Linked DNA regions of Mus musculus. The protein of the gene in region 1 purifies or fractionates together with the protein of each later gene. This does not show direct contact. Links are inferred from orthologs where the notes say so. Each region holds a gene or a part of one and is shown in the gene's direction. Other genes may lie near its edges.

What was found.
Region 2: the proteins of Mtmr2 (region 1) and Mtmr10 purify together in Homo sapiens (affinity purification with mass spectrometry; 5 studies listed by BioGRID and IntAct, with this or other methods). This does not show direct contact. The link is inferred for Mus musculus from reciprocal best matches to the Homo sapiens genes MTMR2 and MTMR10.
Region 3: the proteins of Mtmr2 (region 1) and Sbf2 purify together in Homo sapiens (affinity purification with mass spectrometry; 3 studies listed by BioGRID and IntAct, with this or other methods). This does not show direct contact. The link is inferred for Mus musculus from reciprocal best matches to the Homo sapiens genes MTMR2 and SBF2.
Region 4: the proteins of Mtmr2 (region 1) and Sbf1 purify together in Homo sapiens (affinity purification with mass spectrometry; 6 studies listed by BioGRID and IntAct, with this or other methods). This does not show direct contact. The link is inferred for Mus musculus from reciprocal best matches to the Homo sapiens genes MTMR2 and SBF1.
Region 5: the proteins of Mtmr2 (region 1) and Mtmr12 purify together in Homo sapiens (affinity purification with mass spectrometry; 5 studies listed by BioGRID and IntAct, with this or other methods). This does not show direct contact. The link is inferred for Mus musculus from reciprocal best matches to the Homo sapiens genes MTMR2 and MTMR12.

Annotation. Positions count from the first base shown.
Region 1 is NC_000075.6:13,790,668-13,794,183, forward strand, and holds part of Mtmr2 (myotubularin-related protein 2), read left to right. Parts: intron 1-1,311; coding exon 1,312-1,413; intron 1,414-2,481; coding exon 2,482-2,565; intron 2,566-3,516. UniProt on the Homo sapiens protein: Lipid phosphatase that specifically dephosphorylates the D-3 position of phosphatidylinositol 3-phosphate and phosphatidylinositol 3,5-bisphosphate, generating phosphatidylinositol and phosphatidylinositol 5-phosphate.
Region 2 is NC_000073.6:64,318,668-64,322,183, forward strand, and holds part of Mtmr10 (myotubularin-related protein 10), read left to right. Parts: intron 1-747; coding exon 748-878; intron 879-1,897; coding exon 1,898-1,967; intron 1,968-2,495; coding exon 2,496-2,566; intron 2,567-3,516.
Region 3 is NC_000073.6:110,307,511-110,310,934, reverse strand, and holds the end of Sbf2 (myotubularin-related protein 13), read left to right. Parts: intron 1-645; coding exon 646-777; intron 778-1,438; coding exon 1,439-1,537; 3' UTR 1,538-2,922; downstream 2,923-3,424. UniProt on the Homo sapiens protein: Guanine nucleotide exchange factor (GEF) which activates RAB21 and possibly RAB28. Promotes the exchange of GDP to GTP, converting inactive GDP-bound Rab proteins into their active GTP-bound form.
Region 4 is NC_000081.6:89,312,498-89,316,662, reverse strand, and holds the start of Sbf1 (myotubularin-related protein 5), read left to right. Parts: upstream 1-1,351; 5' UTR 1,352-1,546; coding exon 1,547-1,601; intron 1,602-4,165. UniProt on the Homo sapiens protein: Acts as an adapter for the phosphatase MTMR2 to regulate MTMR2 catalytic activity and subcellular location. Promotes the exchange of GDP to GTP, converting inactive GDP-bound Rab proteins into their active GTP-bound form.
Region 5 is NC_000081.6:12,260,514-12,264,029, forward strand, and holds part of Mtmr12 (myotubularin-related protein 12), read left to right. Parts: intron 1-1,327; coding exon 1,328-1,398; intron 1,399-3,211; coding exon 3,212-3,384; intron 3,385-3,516. UniProt on the Homo sapiens protein: Acts as an adapter for the myotubularin-related phosphatases. Regulates phosphatase MTM1 protein stability and possibly its intracellular location. By stabilizing MTM1 protein levels, required for skeletal muscle maintenance but not for myogenesis.

The DNA of each region.
Region 1 (3,516 bases):
TAAACCATTGATCCTTCTCTACTGGATGGATGGGTGGTGTATGACACATAGTATCATTTCTGGGTGCTCTCCTCCTCGATGCAGTCATCTCTTTTTTTTTTTTTTTTTTTTTTTTTGGTTTTTCAAGACAGGATTTCTGTGTAGCCTCGGCTGTCCTGGAACTCACTCTGTAGACCAGGCTGGCCTGGAACTCAGAAATCCGCCTGCCTCTGCCTCCCAAGTGCTCGGATTAAAGGCGTGTACCACCACCGCCCGGCTGCAGTCATCTTTCATTCCTGGAATGAAGTCTAAAATTGCTTGTAAAATGGAGTGTCATTATTAAAAACAAGCAAAACTGTTTATAAGTATATATTTCATATTTTACAGTACTGAGTAACAGTAGGACACGGCCTAATCTCAACAATAATGAGATTGTAACAAAGTAAACTCAACTTTTTTTTTTTTTTTTTTTTTTTTTTAAAGATTTATTTATTTACTATATGTAAGTACACTGTAGTTGTCTTCAGATACACCAGAAGAGGGCACCAGATCTCATTACGGGTGGTTGTGAGCCACCATGTGGTTGCTGGGATTTGAACTTCAGACCTTCGGAAGAGCAGTCGGGTGCCCTTACCCACTGAGCCATCTCACCAGCCCCTAAACTCAACTTTTGCCTAGGTTAAAATACTTAAATAAAAATGGAGACTTCTATTTTATGATGCTGTGGCTACTGACGTCACTGCCTGAGCCTGAGAAACGACTGAGTACACAAGTGGGAGTCCCTGAGATCCAGCGTAGGCTGAGTTGGGCGGTGATAGGCAGCTAGCAGGCATGTCACTGAAGTGCAGGAAGGGAAAGGCAGTTAGTCCTGTCTAGCAGAAGAGACACGAAGTGAGCCTTAGGAAGCAAGAGTGAATAAGAAATGATTGCTCTACATGATGGAAATATAATAACAGCTGATTGTGGTTTTTATTTTTAAAAATTAGGTTCTGGGAATTGTATGGTCCTATGCTTTTGAGGCAAGCACTTTACCTACTGAGCCATCTCTCCTGCCCAGAAAAAACAAATGTTGATAGTGGGCGTGTGCCAGTACTTCTGTCATTTCCTTCTCCGTTGGCCCTGCTGAGCGAGGGAGCACGGGAGGATTTTCTGCCGTGTAGTAGAGTGTTCTGGGTTTCTTCGCTCCCAGTGAACCATCGTTATTTTTTTGCTTACAGGAGCTGTTTTTGTATTGTAAATGCAGATCTTCCCTTTACCCAACATTTCCATGTTACCTCATTTATTCATTAAAAAGGAACAAAGTGATTTAATTAGATACTATATCTTTTCTAGGATATCAGGAACTTGCGATTTGCTCATAAACCGGAGGGGCGAACAAGAAGATCCATATTTGAGAATCTAATGAAATATGCATTTCCTGTGTCTAATGGCTTGGTAAATGTTTCTCTATAATCTGTATTGTAATTATTAGTGTGGACAGACTCAGCTAAGTTGTCCAGATTCTCCCTTTTCTGTTCCTGATTTGGCACTTAGATAGAGGTTATCTTGTGTCCAAGGTCCATTTCAGTAATGACATTCTATAAGTACATGTTGATTTCTTGGGAGGTGGAAAGAGTGAACTAGAGATTGAACCCAGGGCTTCACACATGCTAGGCAAGTGCTGTACCAGAGTGGTTTTCTTTATGTGTCTTTATTTGAGACAAGGCTGCTTCTCCTGCCACAGCTCCATGAGGTCTGGATTTCAGCCTGTATCACCATCTTGGCTTATGTAATATTTTTTATTGGATGTTTCTATGATAAAAGCTTTATGTAGTTTTCATTAGAGTTTGAAGTCTCCCTGGGTGGGAGCTGGCATTAGGACTAGGAGTTTGGGACAGTTACTAGTGAGTATTTTAGCTGTGCTAGATTCTCTCAACTGCATGATAGCATTTCACCTCCATGGCAGCCATATTCATTACCATGTTAGAGCCAGAATGGAGATGGCAGGGAATTGACCCAGCACTGGAATTAACACTGGATTCCTCACTTGAGTTGCAATTATTTTTTTAAACACCATAGTTTTTTTTCTAGTTACATGTTTAAAAAGCTTATATGCCAATGTATAAAAAGCTTGTTCAGTGTATTAGAGCATATAGTATGGACTTTAGAGCCACTACTGCTGCTTTCTAGTGTTGGACCAGTTATTTCTGTTGGAAAGCACCTTCTTGGAGATGCCATTCATTACTTAGAGTGAAACCTACAAAACGTACCAGAATATTTAAAAGAAATAGGTTAGCATTTGGTAAATTTTATAAGTGGGTCTTGTGTTTTCTTGTACTTTTTAAAGCATATAAAGATATTTAGTGTTGTAAATAAAATAGTAATTTCAGTCATAAAACTATTTAAAAGGGACAATAGAAAATATTCTTGCAAATAAGTAAATCAAAACAGAAGTATTGCAGGGACATATTTCTGATTCAATACTTTCTTTAATGTCCTTTTTAACTGCTGTTTATTTTGTAGCCTCTTTTTGCTTTTGAGTATAAAGAAGTATTCCCCGAAAATGGGTGGAAACTGTATGACCCCCTTCTAGAGTACAGAAGGCAGGTACGTGCTTTTCTCTTCAAGCTTTTGTGTTCTATGTTATTTTCATGACAGTTGATCAAAGTAAGGAGTTCTTTTCAGTGTCTCTTCGTTTTGTTTTAACTGGAAGCTAATCTGGTTTGGTGGGTTTCTTTTCATTTCCTTTGAGTTGCTTTTTAGAATACACTAGTGATCCTTTATGAGTCTTTATCTAGCTCATAAGTATCACTTTGTTTAAAAAAATGTTTGTTCACTATAAAGTTGAAAGTGGGATCAGTATGTGTAAACTTGTCGTAATATCATTCATTTCATTTTTTTCATTTTAGGCATTCTATAATTTATGAAATAAAACAGTAACTGTACTGCTTCTAATTTGAGTTCTATTCTTCACAGAGGATAGAGAGATGCATTCCCTTATGCTAAGGGCAGCATGTGACCTACCTTAGTTAGTACCCTTACTTTACTTCTTAACTTGGTGTCTGTGTGGGTGCTTGTAAGGATTGAGTTCATGGTTTCACCTGTGCTGGGCAAACTCTCCTACTGAGCTCTGTCTCCCTGCCACATATAGATCAAAGTTTAATTACTGTTGATGGCTTCTCAGATAGGTCCCACTCCATTTGGATGCATTTACATTTGATGAGTATTTATTAATGGCACATGTGGTTTTCTTTGTTGAGGCTCTTTCGTCTGTCTTTTTGAAGGAATCATCTGTTATTTCTTTGGTATTGTTACTGCCTGTGCTGCAGTAGGGAAGGTACTGACTAGTTTCTCACTGATGATGTCATCAGGATTAGCAGTGCCTGCTATGTCACAGACTGTGTCTGTTGAATGAGTGAGTGAAGGGAGGCTAAGAGAAGAATTTGCTTAGCGTGTGCTCTGTGTGTTACTAACATTTTGCATACTGGTTTTGTTTACTAAACCATGTGGTAAGCATGGTGTAAAGATACGAAATATCTGCATAGCATGGGTAAACTG
Region 2 (3,516 bases), on another chromosome or scaffold:
GAGGAAGCTTCTCTTGCTTGCTCTCATAGCTGTTTACAGTTGACCAGCTCTCAGTGCCCAGGATCCTCAGCTACTGCCTTGTTCCTTGCTGGGGCTGCATCCTCCACGGCTGGCTCTCATGACTTCTCCTTTTGATCTGTGTTCCTTTCTGCAGAAGGACACCAACGACTGGCTTTAGTAACCAGCACATTGACATCATCTCTAGTTAGCTTGATGTCTGCCATGTGGACACCTTCAAGGCCCTTTAAACTTTATGTCTAAAACTGAACTCAGGGATCTGCCCAGCATGTCTTCCGGCCAGATGCCTCTGTCTTCGTCCCGTTTGTCCACTTAGTTTTCCAGGAACGTTATAAACCCACGGACTGCCCCCCCAGCTTCGCCCCCGTGTGTTACTGGTGCTGTGTTTCTCTTTCTATGTTCCATTTCCTGGGCTCCAGCCACCTGAAATTACCTGGTCTTTTCACTCTCCCAACAGGGCTCTTCCCTCCTGCGTCACCTTCTTCATGCTCCTCCATGAACACGCTTCACCCCACCGCCTTGGCCTCTCTACCTCTTAGTTCTGAGGCACCTCACATTCCATATGCTTTATGTGTGATGGCCGTTTAATTACTGCCTGTCATCCTTACTAGGCCCCATAGGCTGACACCATTGTATGATTATCCCAGGAAGCATAAAATACTTTTGAATGTAAATGTCTACTGTTGAAGAAATGGATGAAGAGATACTAAAGGATTTTGTCTTTACTAGGATCTGCAATGCCATAACTAAAAGTCATCCACAGAGAAGTGATGTTTACAAGTCAGATTTGGATAAGGCTTTGCCCAACATCCAAGAAATACAAGCGGCATTTGTAAAACTTAAGCAACTGTGTGTAAATGGTAATGACATTTTTATTTTGTGCCTGTATCTATTTCTTTCTATCTATCTATCTATCTATCTATCTATCTATCTATCTATCTATCTATCTATCTATTATTTATCAATGAATGGTAATAAAAAATTATGTTGGAACAATCAGGAAAAGTGATGTTCCTTAAAAATATAGAAGATACATCTAAGGAGAGACTCAATCCCTAGAAAATGAAGTCTAAATTTCTCTTGGTTTTGGAGAGAAAAAAAAACAAACCTGTTAAATTCCCCCCAAATCCTGAAAGATATAGATACCTTAAAGAAGCGTTTGCTCAGCAGACAGATATAACTGAGATCCCAGTGCACACGCTTAATTTCAGGATGAGTGGCTCAGCTGAGTGTGTATTGTATGTGTGCCCTTAGAGTTCTGCCTCATAGACTCGGGGTTGCACTTTGCTCTGAGAAGATGTCTCATGGAAGCATCTTTGGAGTAGAAGGCCTGTGGAGCACTGGCTTTGTGGCAGGTCTTGGATGATGAGTAAGCCTTGTTATGGTAGGAGATCTTAGCAGTGTGTGGCCTTGAGTGGTTATGTGCACCCTGGGCAGGGCAGTGCTTGATCCAGGGCTACATGCACACAGAGATGACACTGGCAGCTGGGAAGGCGAAGAGACATCGGGAAGATGGGACCTGGGGCGGCAGGATTTCCTTGAAAATGCCAGAGGGTAGAAGACAAGACTTGAGGGAATGCTGTCTTCTGCTTCAATATAGCATGTGACCTTGGTGCAGTGGCCCATGTCTATGACTTCAGCATTTGAGAAGGTGAAGAAAGGGGACCCAGAGTTTTGAGTCCAGTCTAGGCTTCATGGCAAGGCACTGTCTTTAAAAAACCAAAAACAAGAATCATAAGCATGTCTTCCTAAGTGCTGACTGCAGTACAAGTGTGTGCTATTTCCTCAAAGCTAATTGTTTAATGTGTGTGGGACATTGCTTAACTCTGATGTTGACTGTATGAAGCTAAGCTTAACAGCACTGTTCTATGTAATGCAGAGCCTTTTGAAGAAACTGAAGAGAAATGGTTGTCTTCACTGGAAAGTACCCGGTGGTTAGAGTACGTCAGGTTTGTCGACTTTTCTTTTTTACTTTTTATTTTGAAATAATTACAAGCTCACATGAAGTAAAAGATAGTAGAGGTAGCCACGTGCCCTTCACCTAGCATCCCTCAGGGTAACCTTATCTAGCTGGAGGGCAGCATCCAGCCTGACCACCAATGTTGCCATCATCTGTAGATTTCATTAGCGCCCCCTTCAGCCTCTCCCCAGTCTTCCCCTGGATCCCTGCCCTCTGACAACCACTACTTCATCCTTGCCTCTGAAGCCGTGTTTCCTGAACATTATGTAAATCAGCCTGTTTTGTAATACGTGGTTGGTGAATTTCCCTGATACTATTCCCTAAAGAATCATCCTGTTAATACCAGAGAGAGCCATAAAAATCAAAAGTGTGTGCATAGAGGATGGGGAGCTTTGCTTGATTCTAAGCACGGTTAAAATATATTTATGCAGGTGGACAAGACGTCACAGCAGGCAAAGGCGTGCGTATGTGGCACAAGCTTGATATCTAACAGGGTTTTTTCCTTCTTTCTCTTCAGGGCTTTCCTTAAACACTCAGCAGAACTTGTGTACATTCTTGAAAGCCAGCGTCTCTCTGTAGTCCTGCAAGGTAATTAAAATCATTCCTGAGAATACTATAGGAGCCCACTGTGGCTCCTGGCTGTTCACATTAACATAAGTCTTAGCTGTCTCTTCTGCCACAGTGCTGCCGCACCACCCGGCACACTGCAGATTGTGACTGTGTCCTGTCACGCTGGACTCTCCCACTTAGTACGTCTTTCCTCTTTACTGGGAAAATGGGTCCCCATCCCTGACCTGACTGATATTCAATGTTAATTTGGACAAGGCATCCTCTCTAATCTTGCTATTTCTTATTCACATTAAATTGTGAACCTAAGGAAATAATTAGAAAGTACAAATTCAAATGAAATAGACAATGATTTTTCTCCTCTTTACAACTGAGTGCTCTCATCTTATTGGGAATGAGCCCCAGTTTCTCCATGCACACAGGCTTTGGGAGTACTGAGCCTGCTTTGCTAACACTTTAATGTGGTTTAACCCATTAGTTGGGGTATGATACATATTGAGCATACTGGTAACTTAGTAAATAGAAAGCCTCAGTATTTTGTTTGTGACTGTGGTCACACAAATGCAGTGTCGCCCAGGAGATCTGAGGAAAACCCTGAATGGTGGTTTTTGCCTTTCACGTTGGACAGGGCTTCTTTTGTTCATTGCTGTGCACAGCAGGCTAACTGGCCTGCAGGCTTCCAACCCTGCTGCTTCTGACTCATCTCTCAGTAGGGGAACACAGGAATTCACATGCCTGTCCTACCACTCTATCTGGCTTTTACATGGGTCCTAAGTACAAACTCACATCGTTCGTCTATACAGCAAGACCCTGGCCCACTGAGCCATCTTCCCAGCCCCAGTGATAGAAGTTTTCATCATTCTAAAGGTTGCTTTGTTTTAAGAGGTGATGGGGACAGTTGAGACAGGATTTCACTATATAATCTTGACTGGTTTGAAACTTGCTGTGTAGGCTAGGCTGGTCTTGAACTC
Region 3 (3,424 bases), on another chromosome or scaffold:
CAAGCTCTTAAAATACTTCGTCATTTCTTCTTATTCCAAAGTAATACATGGTTATTGTGCCAAACTTAAACATCTCCAAGAGCTGGCAGCTGGGAGCTCTCTGTAATGTCCCTCAGTGCCATTTTAGACTGCATTCTCCTTCCAACTTCCTGTTGCTTGGGAAGCCTTCCTTGTCCTTTGTCCATCCCAGTGCCATGCTGTCACTTAGCCAGTGCTCAGTGGCGGAGTAAAGACGGCACTCATGTCACTTCCTTGGTTGGGTCAGGCTGGGGAGACTCCAGCCGTCTAGCTCAGTGGCGTTTCAAGCCCTCTGTGACTTGCTGGTGAGTCCTTTGACCTTTTCAACTAGATTGAAAGCAGCATCCAGGAATTCCTTTTTGTTGTTTGTTTTGTTTTTTGAGACGGTTTCTCTGTGTAACACTTTGAGGTTCAGGCTGGCCTTGAACTCACAGAGATCTGCTGCCTCTCCTTCCAGGTGCTGGGATTAAAGGTGTGTACAAGAGGCAGCCTGCGTTGTTAATGCTAGAGTATTCTTCCATGCAGAGTCAGCACCAACAAGCAAGGTGCAGAGGATGTGGTCAGATGTGTCTGGAAAGCCGGGTCATTTCCCCTTACTGTGTCCTGTCTGTCTCTTTTTGGTCCTAGCTGCGATACTATGATTCGGGGGAAGACACGAGTTGTAAAGGCCACATTGATCTGGCTGAAGTAGAAATGGTTATCCCTGCCGGCCCCAGCATGGGAGCCCCAAAGTATACAAGTGACAAGGCTTTCTTTGATGTAAGTTCCTCTTTCCTGTTCTTTCTGCATGTCTCTCCATGACCTCCAAACATTATAGGGCCCCCAAGGAGTTGGTAGTCAATAAAAAGGAGTGTTTAATTAAAGCTGTGGGTGAGTGGCTAATGAATCCCCATGACTACCTTTCACACTGAGCAGCACTGTCCCCTCCTCTGCCTCTGCTACAGCACTGTCACTGCCCATAGTCACTGGAGTGGGGAAAGGACCTCTTCCCGGAATTGCCTTTAATAAAGGAGCTGGGCATGGATGGCGCGGGGTCCCAGGACCAGCTGGTGCCTCTGGCCTCTTACACAGCACCAAAGCAAGAACAGTATGCCAGAGCTCTCAGGGGAACTGTGCCACCCCCTTTTTTCATATGGAGCCATAGTAGAAACCCTGAGCCAGGGAACAGCATCATAGCCTGTAGAGGGATGGAGAATGTAATCTACTTTATGAAACTGTCTTCATTTTAAGGACTACTTAAATTATTAGTCAGGGACTAATTAATTATAAGTCATCTGTTTGCATAGCCCTTAAAGTACCCCCAAACCCAATGTTAGAACCGGCCGTTCTGTCTGTCCAGGATGGGATTAGTTTGTTACTCACCCAAAGCCAAAAGAACAGTCCTGCTTTATGTCTACCCTTCTGTCGCTTGTTTCTGTAGCTCAAGACCAGCAAGCGAGTGTATAACTTCTGTGCCCAGGATGGGCAGAGCGCCCAGCAATGGATGGACAGGATCCAGAGCTGCATCTCTGATGCCTGATGCCCAGGATCAGACAAGCACGAAAGGTAGAGGAACTCACTCATCTGCCTGACAGGGCGATGACGGTCATCCCAGGGCCTGAGGTTCTGCTTACCTTGTCCCCTCTGGAAGCAGTTGGCATGTCACACAGGTCTGGGTGGGAGCCCTGGCCCTCCCTCTCCCTGCAGCATTCCAACAGGATTGAAGTGGAGAGGGTGCCTCTGGACCTGCTGCTGTCATGTAGGCAAGGTGGCTCCCACCTGAGTCCTCCTCCATGAAGACTGTTCTCCAAAGCCATAACTTCAACAACTTGGACCACAGAAATCCAAACCTTCAAAGGTCGCTGTACACCGACCGCATAGGTGTCCCATCAGACACACCTCCTCCTACTGCCTGATCCTTGAGATGTCGGTTCCCTGGTGCTGCCAAAGGTGCTTTCATGGTTCCTGCCCGGGAGCTTCGCAGCAGGAGACGTCACTACTCAGTGGCAGGCAGAGGAGGTTAACAATAGCACAGAATGACCTGGGCCAGTGCAGGAAACACTGCTTCAAACCACGAGTCTCTGAGGACACAGTGCCTGGGTCCTGCGTTCTCTCCTGTTCCCCACAGCTTTCTGTGAAGTAACAAGCGTGCGAGCCCACAGAACACTAGCACTGAACTAACCAGGGAGCCATTGGACAAACTGAGACACATGGGACAGGCCAGCACACAGGGGACAGGCCAGCTAACCAGACAGCACTGCTTGTGAGAAGAACTGCTCCTAAGGTCTCCCAGTTACCATAACCTTGTTTGCTCCAGCCTCAAACTCAAGGATGCTTCTCATCTGTGGTGGGCCTGAGCGGCCACCGCTGCCACCGGGCCCTAGCAACTTGGTCAGTGTGTGTGTTTTGAAATGTTAATATGTTAAATACCAAACTAATATTTCAAAATATGTATATATGATTTCTATATCCTGATTTTTCAGATAGCCTGCTTATAATTTAAAATAAAAATAACTAAACTGATTCATAAGATTTTAGTAATAAAAGGTTGTTTCCTTTTTAAATAATAAAAACTACTTTGTAGATTAAAAATAAATCAAATTTTCAAATTAAAAATTATCAACACACTAGAAAATAGAACTGTATTAATATATAAGAAATTGGGAAATAAAAATGAAGGAGTTTTTTATCATATTCATTTTATAAATTTGCCACCTGTGAAATGGTTTTTGCACATTACTTGTATTTTCTTTGTATATGAAATAATTTTTGTACTTTGTAGACTCTGGAGCCCACTGTCCTCTCGGCTCTTTGAAGCTGTGCCCACTACTGCTTTTGTAACTGGAGTCTTTTAACTTCCATGACGGCACCGCCTGCCGTATGTTCACTAACCACCCAGAATTAAATTTATTTCTTAAGAAAAAGAACCTCTGAGTGCTGTGATGTCAGGTTGGCTCTGCACTGTGCAGTACTCAGGAGCGGCATGGGGCCAAGGCTCCATCTAAACTGTGACCATTTGGGCCTCGGAAGCACAGAGATGCTGGGGTGTGGCCGTGAGCTTCTGGGTTCTGATCCAGCCCTGCGGCATCTGGGGAAAGTCTCAGGCGTCCTCTCTGCACCCCTAGTAAGCTGTTCCAGGTGCCAAGCTCCTGCCTCTCCTGGGCCACCGTTTCCCCTGGCGAGTGGCAGATTATATTGATTTCAGGCAGAAGACACTGAAGTCTTCCTGGGTCATAGACTTTTTTGGGTTGAGGAGTTGGTTTCTGCAGGGGATATTGTCCATCATCTTTGGAGTTTACCTCACACAGCTTTAAGGAATGCTGGTCCTTATGTCAGGCAGGAGCTTCAGCTGGGGGCTCACAGGCCTCCTCAGTGGCCAGCCTGGGGGCTGAGCGGGTCTGCTCATAGCATTGAGCCGCTCTCCATA
Region 4 (4,165 bases), on another chromosome or scaffold:
GTGCACAGAACTTTCCTAGGACAGTCTTTTCCTCTTCCCCTCTTTTATTTATTTTTATTTTATCTTATTTTTTTCAAGACAGGGCTTCCTGGCTGTTCTGGAACTAGCTCCGTAGACCAGGCTGGCTTCAAACTCCATCTGCTTCTGACTCCCAAGCGCTTTAATTAAAGGCGTGCGCTGCCACCACCACCATGACCACCAAGCTCATCCCCCTCTCTTAAAAAAGACATTTTCACTTTATGTGTATGGGTGTTTTCCCTGCATGTATGTCCACGCACCACCACAAACACGTTCCGGAGGCCAGAAGGGGGCGACAGATCCCCCTGGACCCAGAATTGCAGGCGAGGGTGCTGCAAATCCAGCACAGATTCCCATAACCTCTAAACTATCTCTCCAGAAAGGCCCTTATATCTCCTGTTTTTTGGACACATGGTTTCCTGATGAAGCCAAGGAGACTGGACTGGAATTCATGAACGACCTGCTTCAGCTTCTCAAGGGCCGAGACTCTTTATACACGTACACTGACGACTGGACTCGTCTCTCCTGAGATTGCTTTCATTCATTCTCCAGATCTTGCAGGTGGAGGGAACACGATGCTAATAGGTGGCTTGTCTTTCAGTTCTCACAGAAAACTAAACTCATCAACAAGCAAGCCTAGTCCTCCCCCTTTAATCTCCTGGTCAAGGACCTTGCCTCTCCTACAAGTGTCCATTCCTGTATTACTGCAAGAGGCCTGGCCAACCCCCTGACCTCCAGGGCGATCCAACTTCGCAGGAAGGTGACTCAAGCTGGAACTTTTTTTTTTTTTTTTTTAAATGCAGGTGTTGGATATCCCATCCATCCAATGGTGAAATATCTAGCTGCCCCTTTTTGCACTAGGAACTTAAAAAAAAAAAGCCTGTAAAGTCTTTCCCTTGGCCACCATAAGATTGGCAGGGTGAGTGGCGAAGCCATGACACTCCTCCATCCCCCAGCTCGGTCCTCTAGTTTGGGAGACTGGCTGGACAAGGCCTGAGCTCCACTGGTTTGCTTCAGGCAGACTGAGCTGGACCACGCCCCTGACCCTCGGAGTTAGGCTCTCCCAAGGGTGAGGTCCAGGTCTCCCTTCATTCCGGGGCTTCAGTTCCGACGGGGAAGTATGCCCTAATCCTGACCGGTGGTGCTTCAGGTCGAAATGTCGGCCGCGGGACCAGGGTAGCTGACCCGCCCCGGCCGCCGTAAGCTTCACCCGCCCAAAGGGTTGAGCCGGTCCTTGAGCATGAGGTAGTAGGCGGGGCAGCGCCCTCTGGACCCGCCCCATGCGGAGTGGCCCAATGGAAGCGCACTGTGCCAGGTCCCGCCTACACGGGAGGGGCAGAACTGCGCAGGCTCCTGAAGCGCCCGGGCGGGCCGGCTGGCTGGGAAGATGGCGGCGGAAGCCCTGGTCAGCGGCGCCGCAGAGGAGCGGGCCCGGGGTGTCCCAAGTGTGCAGCTTAGGGCCAGCGCCGGGCCATGAGCGCGCCGCCATCGAACCCTCGAGCCGTGGAGCCCGCCTGCGCCCCTTGCCATGGCGCGGCTCGCGGACTACTTCGTGCTGGTGGCGTTCGGGCCGCACCCGCGCGGTGAGTCTCAGCGCCGAGGGGGACGAGCTGGGGGGGACTGAGGGACTGGGACTGAGGACTCGAAGCTAAGAAGACCCGGCCGGAGGCAGGGTCAGGAGTTGGGGCCGAGCTCTCGGGGCTCTCGAAAAGAGGCCTCCGTAGTTATTGGCCACGGTGGCGTCGGGGCAACCCGCGAGGACCCCGGACGACATGGCCTGTGTAAGAAACATCCCTCCTACACCTGGGCACCTGCGTCGCTGTTCCGAGGTGGGCAGGGGCGTGTCGCTCGGGCGTGGGAGGCTGGAGGACCCTGCTGCAGTTCGGTCTCCCCGATTCCAAGTTGGGTGGGATGGGCTCACCCCGCCTTGGCCGCCTGCCGGTGGCTGGGTCTGGGAATTTCAGAGAGGGGGGCGGAACGTTTTCGTCTTCCAGCTTCTCTGACCCAGTGCTAGGTCTGAAGCCTCAAGCACCGCTTGATGGGGTGCAGTGGAGGGGGAGGGGTTCGTCGGTGGTATGGAGCCGGACTTCAGACGAAAGTGTCACACTTGGAGGAGAGCATTCCTGGTGTTCAAGCCTCTAAGCCAGGCCCCTCAGCGGGGGATCAGTGTGGTGATCTAGGAGGCCCTGATCTGGAGTCAGCACCTGTGTCTGAGAGCCCTTCAGTCCTGGGGGTAGGAGAAAACGGAGCCTGACAGTGACATCAACCACAGCCATGGAGACAACAGTGTTGGGGGGTGTTGGCTGGAGTCCTCAGTGTGCCAGGCCCTGCACAACCCTTTGTGTGTATGATCTCATTTCTCCCAATAGCCCACTGAGATTGCCTTGCTGTTGCCCTATCTTCAGCATAGAATCTGGCATAGAGAAGTTGAGTGTGTGGGTCTGGAATGGAGGCTGGGACTTGTACTCTGGCTGTCAGAGTCCACCTGCAGAGGGGCGGTATCTTAGGGACAACTGTGGCCAGATGAGGTAGCCCCTTAATCCCTAGATGTAATGCTTCCTACCGTGTTCCAGTTATCTATTCCACACAGTTATTCTGCTGCTTCTCAGACCAGCTGTCACTGTCACCATTCAGGACCCAAACTTTCTTCTTTGCCTTTCTTCTTGCTAAGTCTCCACTAGGACTGTTCCTTTGTTTAATGTCCACATGATGGACCCTGTATGCACTGGAAAACACCACCACCACCACCACCACCACCACCACCACCTCTGTCTTCAGATCTGTTCAGTACCCTCGCTTCTTTCTGCTCTCATGTATTCAAGTCTATATCTTTTGGCACTCAGTCCCGAGCATCTGTCTTTCCCTCCAAAGAGGGAGTTCTCAAAGGCAGAGACCACATTGTGTTCATCCCCCTGTCCTCCTTGAGCAGGAGGCTTGCCACCAGTGTTGTACTGGCACACACAGGGAGAACCTGTGCTCCAAGGCATAAGTGAAGGCCAGTGAGGTGCCTCCTCTGGAACGGAGGAGGAGTACTGCTGGAGAGTGAGGAAACCAAGCTGGCTGAGGGCTGGCTGGGGTCTCGGGCTGGGCGCTGGGCCAGGGCTGGAGGAATGGAATGGACTTGGATGGTGGTGAGAAGGTTATGAAGAAGGTCCTGTGAAACAGAATGTAGGTAAAGGCCAGGTTGGGGAGGTCTGCTGGGAGTGGAGTAAAATTGAGGGTGATGTGTGGGTAGCTCCATGGGAAGTTGCTGTGGCACGTGGGGGCTTACTGATACAGCTGTACAAGAGGTGTGGACCTCTGACCTCTGTACAGGACGGGATAGAAGGCTGAGGCCAGAGGTGGCTACTTTTCCTGAATCACCGGTGTGATGGAGTAATTCTCAGATTACCCATCACTGTGGCGACTGCAGGCCAGTGAGCTCTCTAAGCACTGCCTTCTAGGGTCAGAGTTGACTGGTTGTTGGCTGACCACTCGGCTTCAAGGCATTCCTTTGAGGAACCAGCCTGGAATCGGGTTTCTGGGTGTGGGCTGAAGGCAGATCTATAAGGCAAGGGATGTGAGTACCAAGAACAAAAGACCCCAAACTGAGGAGCACACTGAAGATTAGTTGTCCTTCCTTTGTCACTCTTCACCGTTGGCTTGCGCCAGTTACCGTGCACTCTCGCCTCAGTTTCCCCGTCTTTATATGGAATGGGCCACATGGAGCTGCTCTGAGGCTGTCAGGAACACTTATGCGTAAAGATATAGCACAGGACTGGCCCAAGGAGATAATTTACATCTCAGATCTGAGTAGCCGATGTAAGAACGCTAGGTAGGTGTTTCTGAAGAAGGTGAAGGGCCCTCTGTGTGCTGACTGACCTAGGATGCAGGGTCCTTTAGATTAAGGGAATACGCGTGAGAGGATATCTCAGTTTTGTTCTGAATCAGAACTTTTTCTCTGCAGCTGCTAGGAGTCAAACCTTGGTAATGAATGCCTTTTTAGAGAGGTAGCATTCTGGTTGCTAATGGTTACAGTTGGTGACTTGTGGGCAAGGCTACAGACAATAAATGCCTGAGCTGTGTGTAACCCTTTCCCTTAAGACTCTATAAAGTAGAGGGTGTAGATGGCACAGCATAGACCCCGCACCTGGTGAGTAGGGCTGTG
Region 5 (3,516 bases), on another chromosome or scaffold:
GCATAGGGGAAACCAGGAAAGGGGATAACATTTGAAATGTAAATAAAGAAAATATCTAATAAAAAATAATTAGCTGGGAGGTGGGAACATATGCTTTTTTATCCCAGTTCTCAAGAGACTCTGAGTTTGAGGACAGCCCAGTCTACAGATGGAGTCCTAAGATAGCCAGGGCTACACAGAAAAACCTTGTCTCAAACAAACAAAAAGAAACCCAGCAGTTTGAAGTAGTGATGGGTAGTAAGAAGATGGCTGCATGAGACCTTTTCACACAGATTTTAAGAAAAGAAGAAGAAAAAGGTAGAGGGGAGACCATGAAGGGAGGGTGTGGCTCTGAAATAACAATAGACAAGAGTTAGGGGAACAAAGTAAGGTACATTTTCTCAAACTGAATCTAGATATCATTTTTCTTACCCTCTCACTGACCCCCTCCCATGAGCATGGAAGAGTGACTGTTTGGGGCATGAGGAGACCAGGAAAGATGGGAGAGGGGTGGGGGGTAGCATGGAGGATGAATATGGCCAAGAAACATTTCCATTATTTGGTATACTAACTAAAAATTCCAATACAAAAGAAAATGTAACTGGGATCATCTTTACATTGATTTTATGACTCCCTTATGAAAACTTGCAGTTCTTGGTGGGTTTCATAAATATTTAATTGACAAAGAGTTTATACATTGACGTTACATGTTTGTTGGTGGTGCTAGAGATGGGACCTAGTTCCACATGTGAGCACTGTACCTGGACTACACCCCAGTGAGGAGCACGGTGTGGAAATCTGTTCACATGGCTCTGTGTGATGGCACCACAGCCACAGCTCAGCGCTTCCTTGCATCTGTGCTGTACCCTGATCTCCCCAGTTCTACCACTGCCTGTCTGTTGGGGACTACCATTCCACTCTGGCAGATCGGACTTGGACGTTTGTAGGCTCTCGTTGTGCAATTATGCAGCATTTGCCTTTCTGCACCTGTCTTTCGTTCAAGTTCTTCCCATATTGCTGCAGTGATAGAATGCCCTTTTCTACTGCGGAATAATATCCCAACACACACATGTACACACAAAGTTGTTCTGTTGTCAGTGAACTCCTAGATTGCTTCCATGTTTTGATGACTATGAGAACATTGCAGTGCATGTAAGAGTGTGGATATCTAGGATACTGCTTTTATCCCTTAGAATAAATGTGTGTGTGTGTGTGTGTGTGTGTGTGTGTGTGTGTGTATGTTTGTGTGTACTAGTGTATATCCGTAATTCAAACCACCTCTAAACGTCCTGCTTATAGCAGCAAGCTCAGTAACTAACGCTCCTGCTCCCTTCTCTTCCTTGTGTAGACGCTGCCTGAAGAAAGCAATCGAGATTACGGAATGCCTGGAAGCGCAGAACGTGAACGTCCTCCTGTTGGGTAATAAGGTTTCCAACCCCATTCACCAAGAGTCAGCTTTTGTGTGTATGGTTGGCAGAGCGGATTAGTTTCCTTCCCCGCCACCCCCGTTTCCTTCACCTATAATCCTTTGCTCAGATCTCAGTGGCGCAGTGTACGTGGAACTCGGCAGACCTGCTCACAGCCCAAGAAGGAATTGTTCCGTGTCTTTACCCAACAGTCTTTGGGACACCCTTTTCCCCGGGGGACTTGTAGCTGCTTAGATGACTGTTCCTGTCTGTGTGCTGGCAGCTTGATGCAGTTGCCATAGAAGGGAAAGCAAATTGGAAGATATTCCTCTTCGTGGTTTCTAGACCACCCGGTACTAATGCCTTAGCCCTGAGTGCCCGTGCTAAGCACCGTCCGTGTGCAGCACTCTGCTTTACCCTACACACTTGCACACTAATGGGAACACCACCTTAAGCATATTCTTACACGGACACAGAAGAGTAGTATTTAAGTTTCAAATAGCTAGTAAAAAGGAATGAGAACTCAGGCGGGAGAGCCCAGGACCAACTCTAGAGCTGTGCAGTGTGTGCAGTTTGGTTCTGATGGAAGTGAGATGTCCCCAGAGGTATGCCATTGCCTTCAAGATGGAACTGTCAAAGACTGACGCGTTAGAGGTCAGATAAAAACATCTGTCTCTTGGGCAGAGAAGATGAGTCCGCCAGTAGCTTTGGAAAACAGACAGCAGACAGGCAGGCGTGGGAGCATGTGCTTATAACCCCAGCCCAGGGAGGAGGAAACAGGAGCCCTGGTGCTCATTGGAAAGGCAGGCCAGCCTAACCCTAAGTTCAAGGCCAGTGAAAGGCCTGTCTTGGAGGGCAGGAAGAAGGTAGACGGTACTCAAGGAACAGCACACAGAATTGTCCTTTGGCCTGGCCTCCACATGTACCTGCACACATGCAGGTTCACACACACACATGCTTATATTCATGAGACTGTTTCTATTAACCCCAGGTGTTTGCATGGTTGTTAGAGATGAGTGTAAGCCTGAGATTTAGGGCATTGTAATTCTAGGGTACGGGAAGGAAGAGTGCTAACAGCATGATTATATCTCTAGGTCTAGTTCTCTAACCTGAATGATACTCTCACCATCTTCCTTGAGGACATTTTTAAAAAGCAGTATGAGTTGGACCTTTTTGGAAAGGGGGAATAAATAGGAAGCATGGGAAATGTAGACCTGGCTTTAGCATGACTGTGGATGTATTTGCCTTTGCTCTAAGTCAGCTGTGCTAGGTAACTCTGTGAATAGACTTTAGCCTTGTAGATTGTATGAAGTGCATTCCAGGTGGGCATGTGGAGGAATATCAAGAATTCCTCCTGTAGGCTTGACAAGGAGAAGCAGGCGCCTCTGTGTTCCTCAGACAGAACAGGAAAGAGACTCATGGCTGAAAAGTTCTGTAGTGTAAAGCAATCCAAGAAGGATAGGAAGTGGAAGACAAGGGCCGGCATCTGGAGCAGTGAAAGGTGACTCTCCCCCAGAGGAAGGGAGGTAGGCCCCGTCTGCAGTTAGGCAGGCTATTGGTGCATAGCTGTTACTGTTCTCTTTTATGGCATCTACAGGCGCTGTGTGCTAAAAGTTGATTTTTCAGGGCTGCCTTTGTTCAGTAAGCAGATCTATGCTTACCACCCCTGTGTGCTGGGACCTGTCCTGATAAGCCACAAGCAGCCTGTCTCCCCAACTGGCCCTTGTCTATAGGAAGTAATAACCGATCTTGCTCTTAGGAACCCTGTTAGCTGTGTGGGATGAGAACACTGCCTCTTTAACACTCTGCCCTCCTCCTCCTTGTAGAAGAGAATGCTTCTGATCTCTGCTGCCTCCTCTCCTCTCTGGTGCAAGTGATGATGGACGCCCACTGTCGAACCAGGACTGGATTCCAGAGCCTCATCCAAAAGGAATGGGTCATGGGTGGCCACTCTTTCTTGGACCGCTGTAACCATCTCCACCAGAGTGACAAAGAGGAGGTGAGTGTCCTCACTGCGGACAGTTGCAGTCCTGGGGAGAAACTCCCTCTCACTGGGCCAGTGTCCTCCGTCAAATATGCTTGTCAGGTACAAGTCATACCCCACAGACACCAGGAAGCTGCTCCATCACCT